3 linked regions of the Arabidopsis thaliana genome follow. The protein of the gene in region 1 interacts with the protein of each later gene in a pairwise test. Each region holds a gene or a part of one and is shown on either strand. Other genes may lie near its edges.

What was found.
Region 2: the proteins of AT4G19370 (region 1) and BTI2 interact in a two-hybrid assay, tested with the Arabidopsis thaliana proteins (one large-scale study listed by BioGRID).
Region 3: the proteins of AT4G19370 (region 1) and AT2G25520 interact in a two-hybrid assay, tested with the Arabidopsis thaliana proteins (one large-scale study listed by BioGRID).

Annotation. Positions count from the first base shown.
Region 1 is NC_003075.7:10,566,177-10,569,931, forward strand, and holds the start of AT4G19370 (chitin synthase, putative (DUF1218)), read right to left. Parts: upstream 1,663-3,755; 5' UTR 1,360-1,662; coding exon 1,270-1,359; intron 1,202-1,269; coding exon 990-1,201; intron 439-989; coding exon 87-438; 3' UTR 1-86. Other genes in the region: AT4G19380 (Long-chain fatty alcohol dehydrogenase family protein), read right to left, coding at 2,251-3,755. UniProt on the Arabidopsis thaliana protein: Together with MWL1, contributes to secondary cell wall biology, specifically lignin biosynthesis.
Region 2 is NC_003075.7:6,838,077-6,841,831, reverse strand, and holds the start of BTI2 (VIRB2-interacting protein 2), read left to right. Parts: upstream 1-1,795; 5' UTR 1,796-2,253; coding exon 2,254-2,506; intron 2,507-2,827; coding exon 2,828-3,008; intron 3,009-3,097; coding exon 3,098-3,239; intron 3,240-3,329; coding exon 3,330-3,399; intron 3,400-3,486; coding exon 3,487-3,656; 3' UTR 3,657-3,755. Other genes in the region: AT4G11230 (Riboflavin synthase-like superfamily protein), read left to right, coding at 4-163, 246-455, 547-675, 761-839, 932-1,041.
Region 3 is NC_003071.7:10,858,973-10,862,727, reverse strand, and holds AT2G25520 (Drug/metabolite transporter superfamily protein), read right to left. Parts: upstream 2,061-3,755; 5' UTR 1,779-2,060; coding exon 735-1,778; 3' UTR 318-734; downstream 1-317.

The sequences.
Region 1 (3,755 bases):
ATAAGTGCATTAACCAATTATATACATCTTTGTAAATAATAGCATATCCGATATTTCCCCTTTTACTTTTCGTTTTATATTTATTTTTATATTCTGCTTATATTAGTGGAAGACACTTCTTCCACCAAGTGAATGACACTTTCTGACTTGTTCGTTTGGTGCTCATCATGCTTTTGTTCTTCTTCCATTGATCTCCTTTGGTCTTGGTTTTGGTCTTTGATTACGACTTGCACAAGTTGTTGTTGTTTCTTTACTTTGATCCTGGTGGCTGAAATGGTCAAAGCTCCAAGTCCAAGGATGGCTAAGCAGCCTGAAGCTGCAAAGACACCGTCTTTGACCAAGTAACAATCTTCATCAAGCCATCCTTCTCCATACGCTTGAGCTCGACTCATGCTTATTGCGGTACTCAAAATCAATACCACTACCACAAAATTGGACCTGATCACATAGGTAAGGAAAAACAAGAACAGAGAATTATCAATATAGGAAACTAATCTCAAGAGATATTTTCTTTCTTATACTTTAGATGATACATCGCCTGATATGTTTAGAATCTTAGGGATGGGAAATATAACTCTCAACCTTAAAATCGAATCAAACCAAAACAAATTGATTAACCGAAACGATACCGAACTTTGCATTAGTGTCACCTAACAAACCAGTCCATATTTTCTTTAGATGTTATATTTTTTTATTGCATAAACATAATATTGGTGAACTTCTTATATATTTATATTTCGGTTTTATTTTTTCAACTACAGCCGAACCTAGTACAAAACAAAAACTAAACAGCCAAACCAAAATACAAATGGTTTTATAGGTTTAAGTTTTAGTAAAACCGGAAAACTAAACCGTAAACCGAATTACTCACTGATTCAAAATTACCCAATACAAAATTCAGTAAGATATATCGGTAGGTGGTTAAGGGGATTCTTGGTTACAGTTAGATGAGATTAAAAAAAAAAAAGAGAAGAGGAAAAATATTTTACCAGGACAGGAGCAATAGAACCGTAGGTAAAGTAAGATCAGTAATCTTGTAACCATCTTCTCTTTTAGTTCTTGTCCGGTGATTTCGGAACACAACTATGTTCCCAACGATCTGAGCAAGGCAGAAGCAAAGAACAGCGGCTGATCCAAGCCCGAACGCATGGCTTCCGGGTACATAGCAGTTCCTCTCTGTGTCCCATCGAATATCTTCTTTCTACACAAGTAAACTTTGGTTCGATTTGTCAATATAAAAAAACAAATTGAAGGAACTCGACGTCGTACCTGTGTTCTCTTGAACTCGGCTGCGAAACATGTGATGAAGGAAACGAGACCAAGAGAGAACACGACTGAGTAGAGAAAAAGGTTGTGCATAGTTTTTAGTGGACAAAATCAATCAGACGCACTTACATATATGTAATTCTGCAACATAAATGCTACACCTTAGATTATTTGAGTCAAATTCTCAGGGGGATTTATTTAATTATCTTTTAATAGGCTTGAGGAAAGTTCTTTAATCTACATAAGGATGGAAAATAAAGAGAGAGAATAAAATTCTTAATTATATCAAATGATAAAATTTCCAAAACCATTTTAAAGAAAATAGATGATGGCGTATACTTTTGATACAAGTACACAACACAAACTTAAAATTTTGGATATGTGACTATGTGAGGTAACTTCTCATAGAAATCTTCTTTGTCAACTAAATAATATGGAAATAAAAGAGAGGAGAATATTATCATACATTAAAATAAAATTTTTTTCCAAAACGATTAAAAGGAAATAGATGATTTGTGTTTACTAAAGACGAGGTCAAACGTAGATTGTTTGACTTACATACAAAGTGGCCTTAATAAAAAGAACAAAAGCATGATAATGGCATGGACTATAGAAGTTGAGTATAGATTAAGCCTTCCCAAGTTAAAGGCTTGAAACTTTTTGTATACATAATTTTTTGTTTGTTTTGTTTTAGAATTAAAATCTGAAATTTTAATATGATTTTTTATTTCATATCATATATTGCCTACTAGCTTAAGAAATATTATCCATTTTGCTCATCTTTATTTCTTATTTATCAAGCTGCTACTGCCTACCAGTGTTTACTAGTTATAGTTTACGAATAATTAAAAGAAAAGGAAATTTATTGCTAACTGATACTTTGACAAAGAACTTCTTAATATTAGTTTTATCAATTGTATAAAAAAAACATTTCATTTTAAAAAATATGTGGAAAACTAAAATCTATTTCAAACTGATGAACCCTCACTTCTTCTTCTTAAGAACATCAACAACATTAAGTCCAATACAATAAGCAATAGACTGAACGGTGACCATCGGATTAACCCCTAAAGCGGTCGGAAAAACACTTGTGTCCGCCACAAATAACCTTTCGACCTCCCAAGTCTCTCCTGTTGGCCTCACCGCGGATTCCTCCGGCCTAATTCCCATCCTACAACTTCCCATTTGGTGAGCTGAACATATCTGACCTGACAAATCCTTCAACGGCTTTGAACTCTCTTCTCTCACAAACCGCTCAATCTCTAACGAACTCGCTGTTCTAACATTCAGACTCCTACCTTCTGAATGATGCGTCCCAATCTCCTCGGCTCCGGCTGCGGCCAGAATCTTCAAGACTCTTTCAAGACCGTTCTTTAGACTCTCTTCGTCTTCATCGTTTAAGTTGTAGTCAATGTAGGTCTTGGAATCTATTGTTCCGGTTCCTTTATCTCTCAGAAGCGCAAAAATGTGTGCGGTTCTTGAAAATTTGAGCATTCGGGTTTTGAAATCCTTGCTTGATGTCCAGGGAATGATCCCTGAGAACATTCCTGGATGTAGAGCAGGTGTCTGGATAACCATTTCACCATAAGAACTATGCGTTTCTTCAATTACAACGCTAGACATCGCAGTCATTATTCCCCCCTCGTAGCTCTTTTTCTTCTTTTCCGGCCACTTATCTTCCTCTGGAAACCATCCCCAAGCCATAACAACCGGATGTAGACAAAGGTTTCTCCCAATGTTACTATTCTTCAAACCGCTACGTTTCAACAGATGCGGCGTTCTAAGCGCACCGCAAGCCACTATTGTCACTCTAGACTCCACCACATAAATCTCTTCCCCAAACGCAAACGCAACTCCAGTTGCCTTCTTCTTCTTCCCCTGTTCACAGTCGTACATGACTTCCGTCGCTTGACAACCTGGAAGGATTAAACCATTATCAGATTCCACCAAATCTACAAGCCAAGTCTCTGAAGTCCCCTGCTTTTGACCTTTCTTGCAACCCAAGCAACAAAACCCACAGTAATGATCGGATGGAGCATTCCTCGGAATATTCTTCACTGGTAACCCTAACTTTTCACAACCTTTTCTCAATACCTCATTATTAAACCCTTCTTCTACAAATCCGCATTGAACACCCATCCTCTTACAGACAACATCCATTGCCTCTCGATACAAATCACTTCCGAACATTTCGAGTTTTGACTTTTCTGCCCATTCCTTCATCACATGTTCTGGTGTCTTGATCGAGGCGGACCAATTGATTGTAGAACCACCTCCGACTGTGGATCCCGCAAGAATCACTACGTTCGTATCGGACGTCGCTAATAACCCACCGGATAAATACATGTCATCCATAGCTTGCCCTTCAAGTAAAGAAAGTTTGCTTCTTGCATAGTAATTCCCTGACTCAATCACCAACACTTTGTAACCAGCCTTGGCTAACACTCCTGCCGCCACTCCTCCACCGGATCCAGACCCAACCACCACAG
Region 2 (3,755 bases), 3.7 Mb from region 1:
TAGTTTTCCAGAGCTGTTGATAGATGGACCTTATGGCGCTCCAGCGCAAGACCATTGGAAGTATGATGTGGTATTACTGGTTGGCCTTGGAATCGGCGCAACACCTTTCGTTAGCATTTTGAGAGATCTACTCAATAACATTATTAAGCAACAGGAACAAGCTGTGAGTATAACAAGCTTAAAAACCTTGTTGATGAGTAACAGAATCTCAACTAAACTTTTTTGGAGTTATGTTATATTCTCAGGAATGCATCTCAGGTAGTTGTAGTAACAGCAACATCTCGTCGGATCACAGTTTCAGTTGCTTAAACTCAGAAGCTGCGAGTCGGATTCCGCAAACTCAACGGAAGACGCTGAATACCAAGAATGCTTACTTTTACTGGGTAACACGAGAACAAGGCTCGTTCGATTGGTTCAAAGAAATCATGAACGAGATTGCTGATTCAGATAGAAAGGTAAAAACAATACACTTATTCATTTTAAATTCAAAAGATTGTATGATTTCAAGTTACTCACTGACGTATTTGTCTTGTGAACAACTACAAGGGTGTTATTGAGATGCACAACTACTTGACTAGCGTCTACGAAGAAGGAGATACTCGATCCAATCTTCTCACTATGATCCAAACGTTAAACCATGCCAAAAATGGCGTCGACATTTTTTCAGGAACCAAGGTAATGATCTTTAATGATTAGTTGATTACTTTATCACAAACAACACTCTTTTCTGATCTTGTATAACAACTTTTGGTTATTTTAGGTAAGGACACATTTTGGGAGGCCAAAATGGAAGAAAGTTTTATCAAAGATTAGCACCAAACATAGGAACGCAAGAATTGGTAACACACAGAAACATCAGTTCACTGAAATGATATTCGATATCGCGGTGTATATTTGCCTTGTCTGAAGAATGTTTTTTTGTTTGTTACAGGAGTGTTCTATTGTGGAGTTCCAAGTTTGGGGAAGGAACTTTCAACACTCTGCCATGAATTTAACCAGACGGGAATTACCAGGTTCGATTTCCACAAAGAACAGTTCTAACTGGTAAAAGGATTAATCCCCCACGATTATGGTTTTTTGAATGAATGAATCAATGTTCATGTTCGTTCTCGTATCCTACTTGTTGTGTTTTCTTTTCGTTTTGTGTATCACAAATACCAACTTTTAACCATTTCATCTAGAGTAGGACTGTTAAAAAATGTAAAAAGTCACAGTTAAAGCTTGTGAAGAAAAAAAGAGTGTAAAGGAGTAAAAATGAGAAATTCAAACAAAGGGGGATGATGGGATCATTGGGATGATTGGTTCTGTCTGTTCAATTGTTTTCAAATTTGAGCACTTATTATTGGGCCTGTCTTTGAGCTCTCTTATTATTATGGGCCGATAACTAGTTTGGCCCATTTGGTTATCAACTTGAAAATGAATGAAGAAAGCTGGGGAAAAGGGTCTTTTTAAACCCGAACTGACTCAAAAGCCTCAAAAATTTCACTGTTCCTTGGTTCTTGACCGGTTTAGAATCATGGTTTCGGTTTTGAATCATATTTGCTTTCTTGGACATGAGAAAGTAACTGGGCTTCATCATTGTTTTAGCTCATTGGGCCCATATTACGACTCGAGCTAACGCTGTCAAGTTAAATGCTTTTTCACTTTCTAGAGCATTCTTTTTTAAACACTTCTTTTAACCAAGAGACGGTTCCTACTTCTCTAATATTTTTATTTTCTAGTTTTTTGGCCAGCAGCAAAATATTATTTTAATTTAGTGTCAAGATAATTAAATTATCATTGTCTTTTGAATGCAGACCGAAAGTACATGAGTCACATAAGCAAGCGGCTACGATTCAACCACGTGTCACATGACCACCGGTTCGACCGTTTCTTTGTCCAGCCGCGTGACACCTGAACCAGAAAAGTTTAATAGCCATTTTAATAACAGAGCCGTTAATTACACGTGACTTAAAAAGCCGTTATCCTTAACAGCGTTAACATCTCGGTCCTGTGAAAACACTTTTTATATGTCCCCACGACATTTATCTTTTCCTAAGCATCGCTCTAGTTAAGGAAGCAGCAGGTTTGGATCCGAACCAACCAACGGATCAGATCAGAAACAAAATATTCAACGGCTCAGATTTATTCTAATTTTCCTCCTTTTATTGTTGGTTTTTTCATTCGACTTCGAGATCTTTCTTCTCAGAGGTGTAACGAAAACGCTAGAACAATAACTTTGATCGTTCTTCTTCTTCTCTTGAATCGGAAACAATGGCGGATGAACATAAGCATGAAGAATCTTCACCTAATTTGGATCCAGCAGTGGAGGTTGTAGAGAGGGAATCGTTGATGGAGAAGTTATCGGAGAAGATCCATCACAAAGGTGATTCGTCGTCTTCATCATCATCAGATGACGAAAACGAGAAGAAGTCTTCGTCATCGTCTCCAAAGTCTTTGAAATCGAAGGTTTATCGTTTGTTCGGAAGAGAGAGACCTGTTCATAAGGTTCTCGGCGGCGGAAAACGTATGTTTACTCTGATCCCGTTTCGATATTTGTTCTCAGTTTTTTAAAACGAATTCGTTTGCGTTGGCTTGATCTGTTTGATTTTCTCACTAGTTTAAGGGATCCGTGAAGAAGATCGTTTGAATCTACATAGAGGTTTACATTGATTTGAATTCGATTTCGATTTTGATTTCTGACTAGTTTGAGAGAATTTGTGATGGAATTGATTTTTTTTTTTTTGGAAATGTGTATAATGATCTTGTGAGATTCTTGTAGTTATTGATGATATGGTTCTTATTTCGTGATTGATAAACCCTAATTTGGTGATCTTTTTAATTGCAGCGGCAGATATATTTATGTGGAAGGACAAGAAAATGTCAGGAGGTGTATTTGGCGGTGCTACAGTGGCATGGGTGCTATTTGAATTGATGGAGTATCATCTTCTTACTCTGTTATGTCACGTTATGATCGTTGCTCTTGCTGTGTTGTTTCTATGGTCTAATGCCACTATGTTCATTCACAAGTAAGTTTTGTGGTCAATCATATGAAACAGGTCAAGGTTGTCAAGCTTATTTGACTCATCTTCGTTACCAAATTTTCATTCTCTTTCAGGTCTCCACCAAAGATTCCTGAAGTTCATATCCCTGAAGAACCTCTTCTTCAGCTTGCTTCGGGTCTTAGAATCGAAATCAACCGTGGGATCTCTTCTCTTCGTGAGATTGCGTCGGGGAGGGATATCAAGAAGTTCCTCTCTGTATGTTTAAACTGTCCTGGACTTACTCGTTACTCCTCTCTCGATGTCTCACTTAAGTTTGACACTTATTGTACTGTTTGATTGAATTAGGCTATTGCCGGATTGTGGGTTCTATCGATCTTGGGCGGCTGCTATAGTTTCTTGACATTGGCATACATAGGTAACACTTACTGTTGCTAAAAGTATTTTGCTTCTGCCTTCTCTCTTATTCTGACATTGCTGATGAACGGTTATTGATTTGGTCCAGCTCTGGTTCTGCTCTTCACTGTTCCTCTTTTCTACGACAAGTACGAAGACAAAGTAGACTCATACGGTGAGAAAGCAATGGCTGAGTTGAAGAAGCAATACGCTGTGTTGGACGCAAAGGTATTCAGCAAAATCCCAAGAGGACCGTTGAAAGACAAGAAGAAGGATTAGTTTTTTTTGGGGTTTTTGTTTTGTGTGGGTTTTCTTTGGAGTGCAATGTGCACAATGCTCTGGTTTTTATACACGTGGGTTGTGTTGTGTTGTGAATTG
Region 3 (3,755 bases), on another chromosome or scaffold:
GTAGATCCGAATTGTGTTAAAAGTTCCCAAATATTCGCTGATGAGAAATCCATAACCCGTGAGCCTGTTTGAATGTTTTTAGTTTGGTATCTAACACCTATTTGGCCTGTCCCTTTACTCAGGACAGAAACTTGTTGAGACTAAAGGAAGGATATTTGTAGAGGTTAAATGAGACCATTGTATTCATATGATGGTGTCATGTGTCATATTATTGCAAGGGAACGTCGGTATGGGTATTTTGTTTATTTCCTTAAATTGTGGATCTTGCTACTAAATGATCCTACATAACCCATAAAATATCAAAAAGTTTTTGGTGTTGACCATCTTCTTGTGCCTTCCAACATACAACGGTTTCATTGGATAAAGAGAGACGTAAAAGGGACTTTCAATTTGACATTTAACAATCTCAATGGAGGGAAAAAATATAAAGAAGTACTACTAAAACAATTGTTACCCACAAAGATAGATTCATGAGGAAGTAAGAAACAAAATACAACTCAAAAGAAGAAGATACAATGGAGTTCAAAAGATTCATGAACCTCTAATTAAACACCCATCCATCACTATGTAATATAATCAGCCATAACTTAAAAATATAATCGCAAAACTAAAACGTAGACGAACGAACACCGACAATGATAATCATACCTATGAAAATGCAAAATCCATCTTCCCAAATCATTCTAACCTTGAAGCTCTTATTTCCTGAAATTGCATTCTTGAATCAGAACAGATCAATCTTGGGTTTCGTTGCGTTTAGCTTCACTTTCCCTCTCTTCCAAAAGCTTCCCAGCTTCGTCATCACTTGCCTGAACCTTCTTCTGTGCATCTTTAGCCTTCAACGCCTGTAACTTGCAGTGATTGTAATATCCAACACCCAAAAAGGCAAGTCCATAACCAAACAGATTGATAGGTGTGACCGTGTCCTTAATCACCGACCACGAGAATGCAATCAAGAGCCAATCCTTAACCACACCAGCCACATTCATAGTCAAAGCAGAGGTTTTCCCAACGAGCAAGAACACAGCAAGATTCAAAGCAAACGCACAAACAGAATTGGTTCCAAAGATCACGAAATCGAAATGGAAACTCGAAGTATCTCTAAGAACTGGAAACTCCACAAAGATCCAAGGAACAGAGAGGAAAACCAAACAACAAGGAGCAACGTAATAGAGAGAAGTGATTGGATTTAGATTGATTCCTTTAGAAGTAAGCAAGATCTGAATCAAAACCAACCTAGTGGCTTCAAAAGCAACAGCACCAAGCTGAAGAAAAACACCCCAACCATCAAACTTAGCTTCACCATAAGCAGCAATAGCAACACCAAACGAGATCGAAAGCATGTTAGTCATAGTCTGAGATTTGAAAGTCTCTTTCTTCAACAAAACCCCGATTGAGTAAACTGCTACAGGCATTAGGGCTTTGAGCATTTGAATGAAGGAAACAGAGAGGTAGATGTAAGCAGAGTTTGATAACCAGAGAGAAAGTGAGTACAACGCGCCGATTGGTACGACGGATCTGAGATAAGTCTCGCGTGACATTGAAACAGGCTCGACGACTTTGAAGACTTTGATGAGAATCACAGCTAAGGAAGAGCAAAAACCCATGTGGATCATGGTGAGAGTTATTGGGAATGGCCAATTATACATCTTCTTGTCGAGGATGTATTTGTTGTAGACGATGACTGTGAAGCTGAGGAAGATCCAGATTGCGACATAGGTGTATGAAAGGATGATCTTTTTGATCACTCCGTCGGAAAGTGCACGACCTTTCCCCATGGCGGTGGGTTTGTTTTCGCCGGAGAAGAAGATGGTGGTGGTGGTGCGCAGGATAAAGGATTAAGAGAGAGAGGTGCGCACGATAGAAGTCTCTCTCTCTTTGGGTCAATGTTTTTGGGTTTGGGGGAGAAAGAGACTTTGAGTTTGGTCTTGTAATGTAGAGGAAGGGCTTACGTGACTTTGTTATGCTACGTGGCGAAAAGGTGCGCGATTATTTGACGATTGGCGTATTGTGGGACCCGCATTTTTAATCATCTGTTTTCTAGTGGATTTATACTTAGTCTTTAAATTATGAAATAAATGTAACAAATGTTTTGTTTTGAACTCTTTTTTTAGTCAATTACGTTTTGTTAATTTCTCTAGGGTTTTTTAATATTGCGGAAAACTCACAGAAAGGAACACAATTTTACCTTAACTAATTTAGTAAAAATTAAATATTTGTATATCTTAACACTAAATAACGTCATTTTTGTTATAAAATTAATAAGCCAGTTATTTAGATAAAGTATGTGATGATGTATGTTTCCTGAAACGGCTTTTAGTCGAAACTCTTTAAGTTTACGTTGCCTTAAATTAATGACGAATCCCTAAAGCTATTAGTTAGAGACTTAAGAGTAATTAAATGGAAACTTGTAACGAAGAGAGTATGCGAAGTAAATAAATGGGAGAGAGTAACGATGAAACAAAGAGTCAACGTTTAAATTAGAGCGCGTGAATCTCACATCGCGACAGTTTTGCTGCGTCCCTCTTACGTTGCATTATTGGTGCCTTGGTGGTGGTGCTAATGTAGTTGTCGCAACGTTTGTTGGGTTACTTCGGGTCCAGAGTCCAGACGGGGTTTGTTGACCGACTCAGTACTTGTACAAATACCTGTCAAAATCTTGTCTTTCGCTCGCCTGATAAAATATTATTTGGTTTTGATTGTGGAATTATTCTGTTCAAAACTTCAAATGATTCAAACACTCAAAAGTCAAAACAAAAGCTTCTGGTGTAGAGACATTACAATATTTTTTTTCGACCATACATTTTCTATTAAATATATCATTTATTTGGTGTTGCCTAATCTGAAAGTTTAAATTTACAAAAAAAAAAGTTAGTAATAAATCTATAAATTAAAACGACTAAAATAATTTGGTATCTTATCATTCGTCTGAATACATATACCAAATTCAAAGTGAGATTATAAATTTTTCAAAACCGTTTCATGTGACAAGAGACTTTTTGGAAATCCCACGCCAAAGTTACAAAGGAACATTATTTATTTTGTAACTACAGTAACGTTTGCAAAAATAAATAAATTATCCGTAGTTACTACTTTCGGAACATTTGTTTTACGAAGAGTCTGACTGTCACATGGACAGCATTTCACCGATTACGTGACGTGCGAGGAAGTCATGTGGCCATATATAAAGTAGCTACTAACTTCCCATGTTCTGCACGCCAATTGCAAAAATACTTCTACTAATGTTTAACCAATACAGGCATATAGCGAATGAATCTTTTGCAAAGAAAGAAAAGAAACATTTTAGGAGGGAAAAATAAGTTTGTAGCAAACCGATTATGCAGTTACATTTACATTTCTCCCTTAATATTTATCTACTTTGTTTCTCTTTTACAGAGACATCATTTAGAATTTATAAATTATAATTACTAATAAGGGAAGCAAAGTTAATGAATAGAGACAAAACAAGAAACAGAGAGCTAGTAACGATAGAGAGAACGAAACAAACGATTCAGCCCGAGAGAACGAAACAAAAGTGGCGGATATGATAACATCAAAGTCGATCATTTTTTTAATTTCCGTTTTAAGGTGATTTTAGTTATTGAGTACTTATTATTATTATGATCTAATAAGTGCACAACTGCTTGCTTAGTAACTAGTAGTTCTGGTTACTTGAAATACAGGCTAATTGGTAATTCAAAATACGTAAAGTAACAAATATTATTTTTATCAGTTACATGCAAGTATGCAATCAT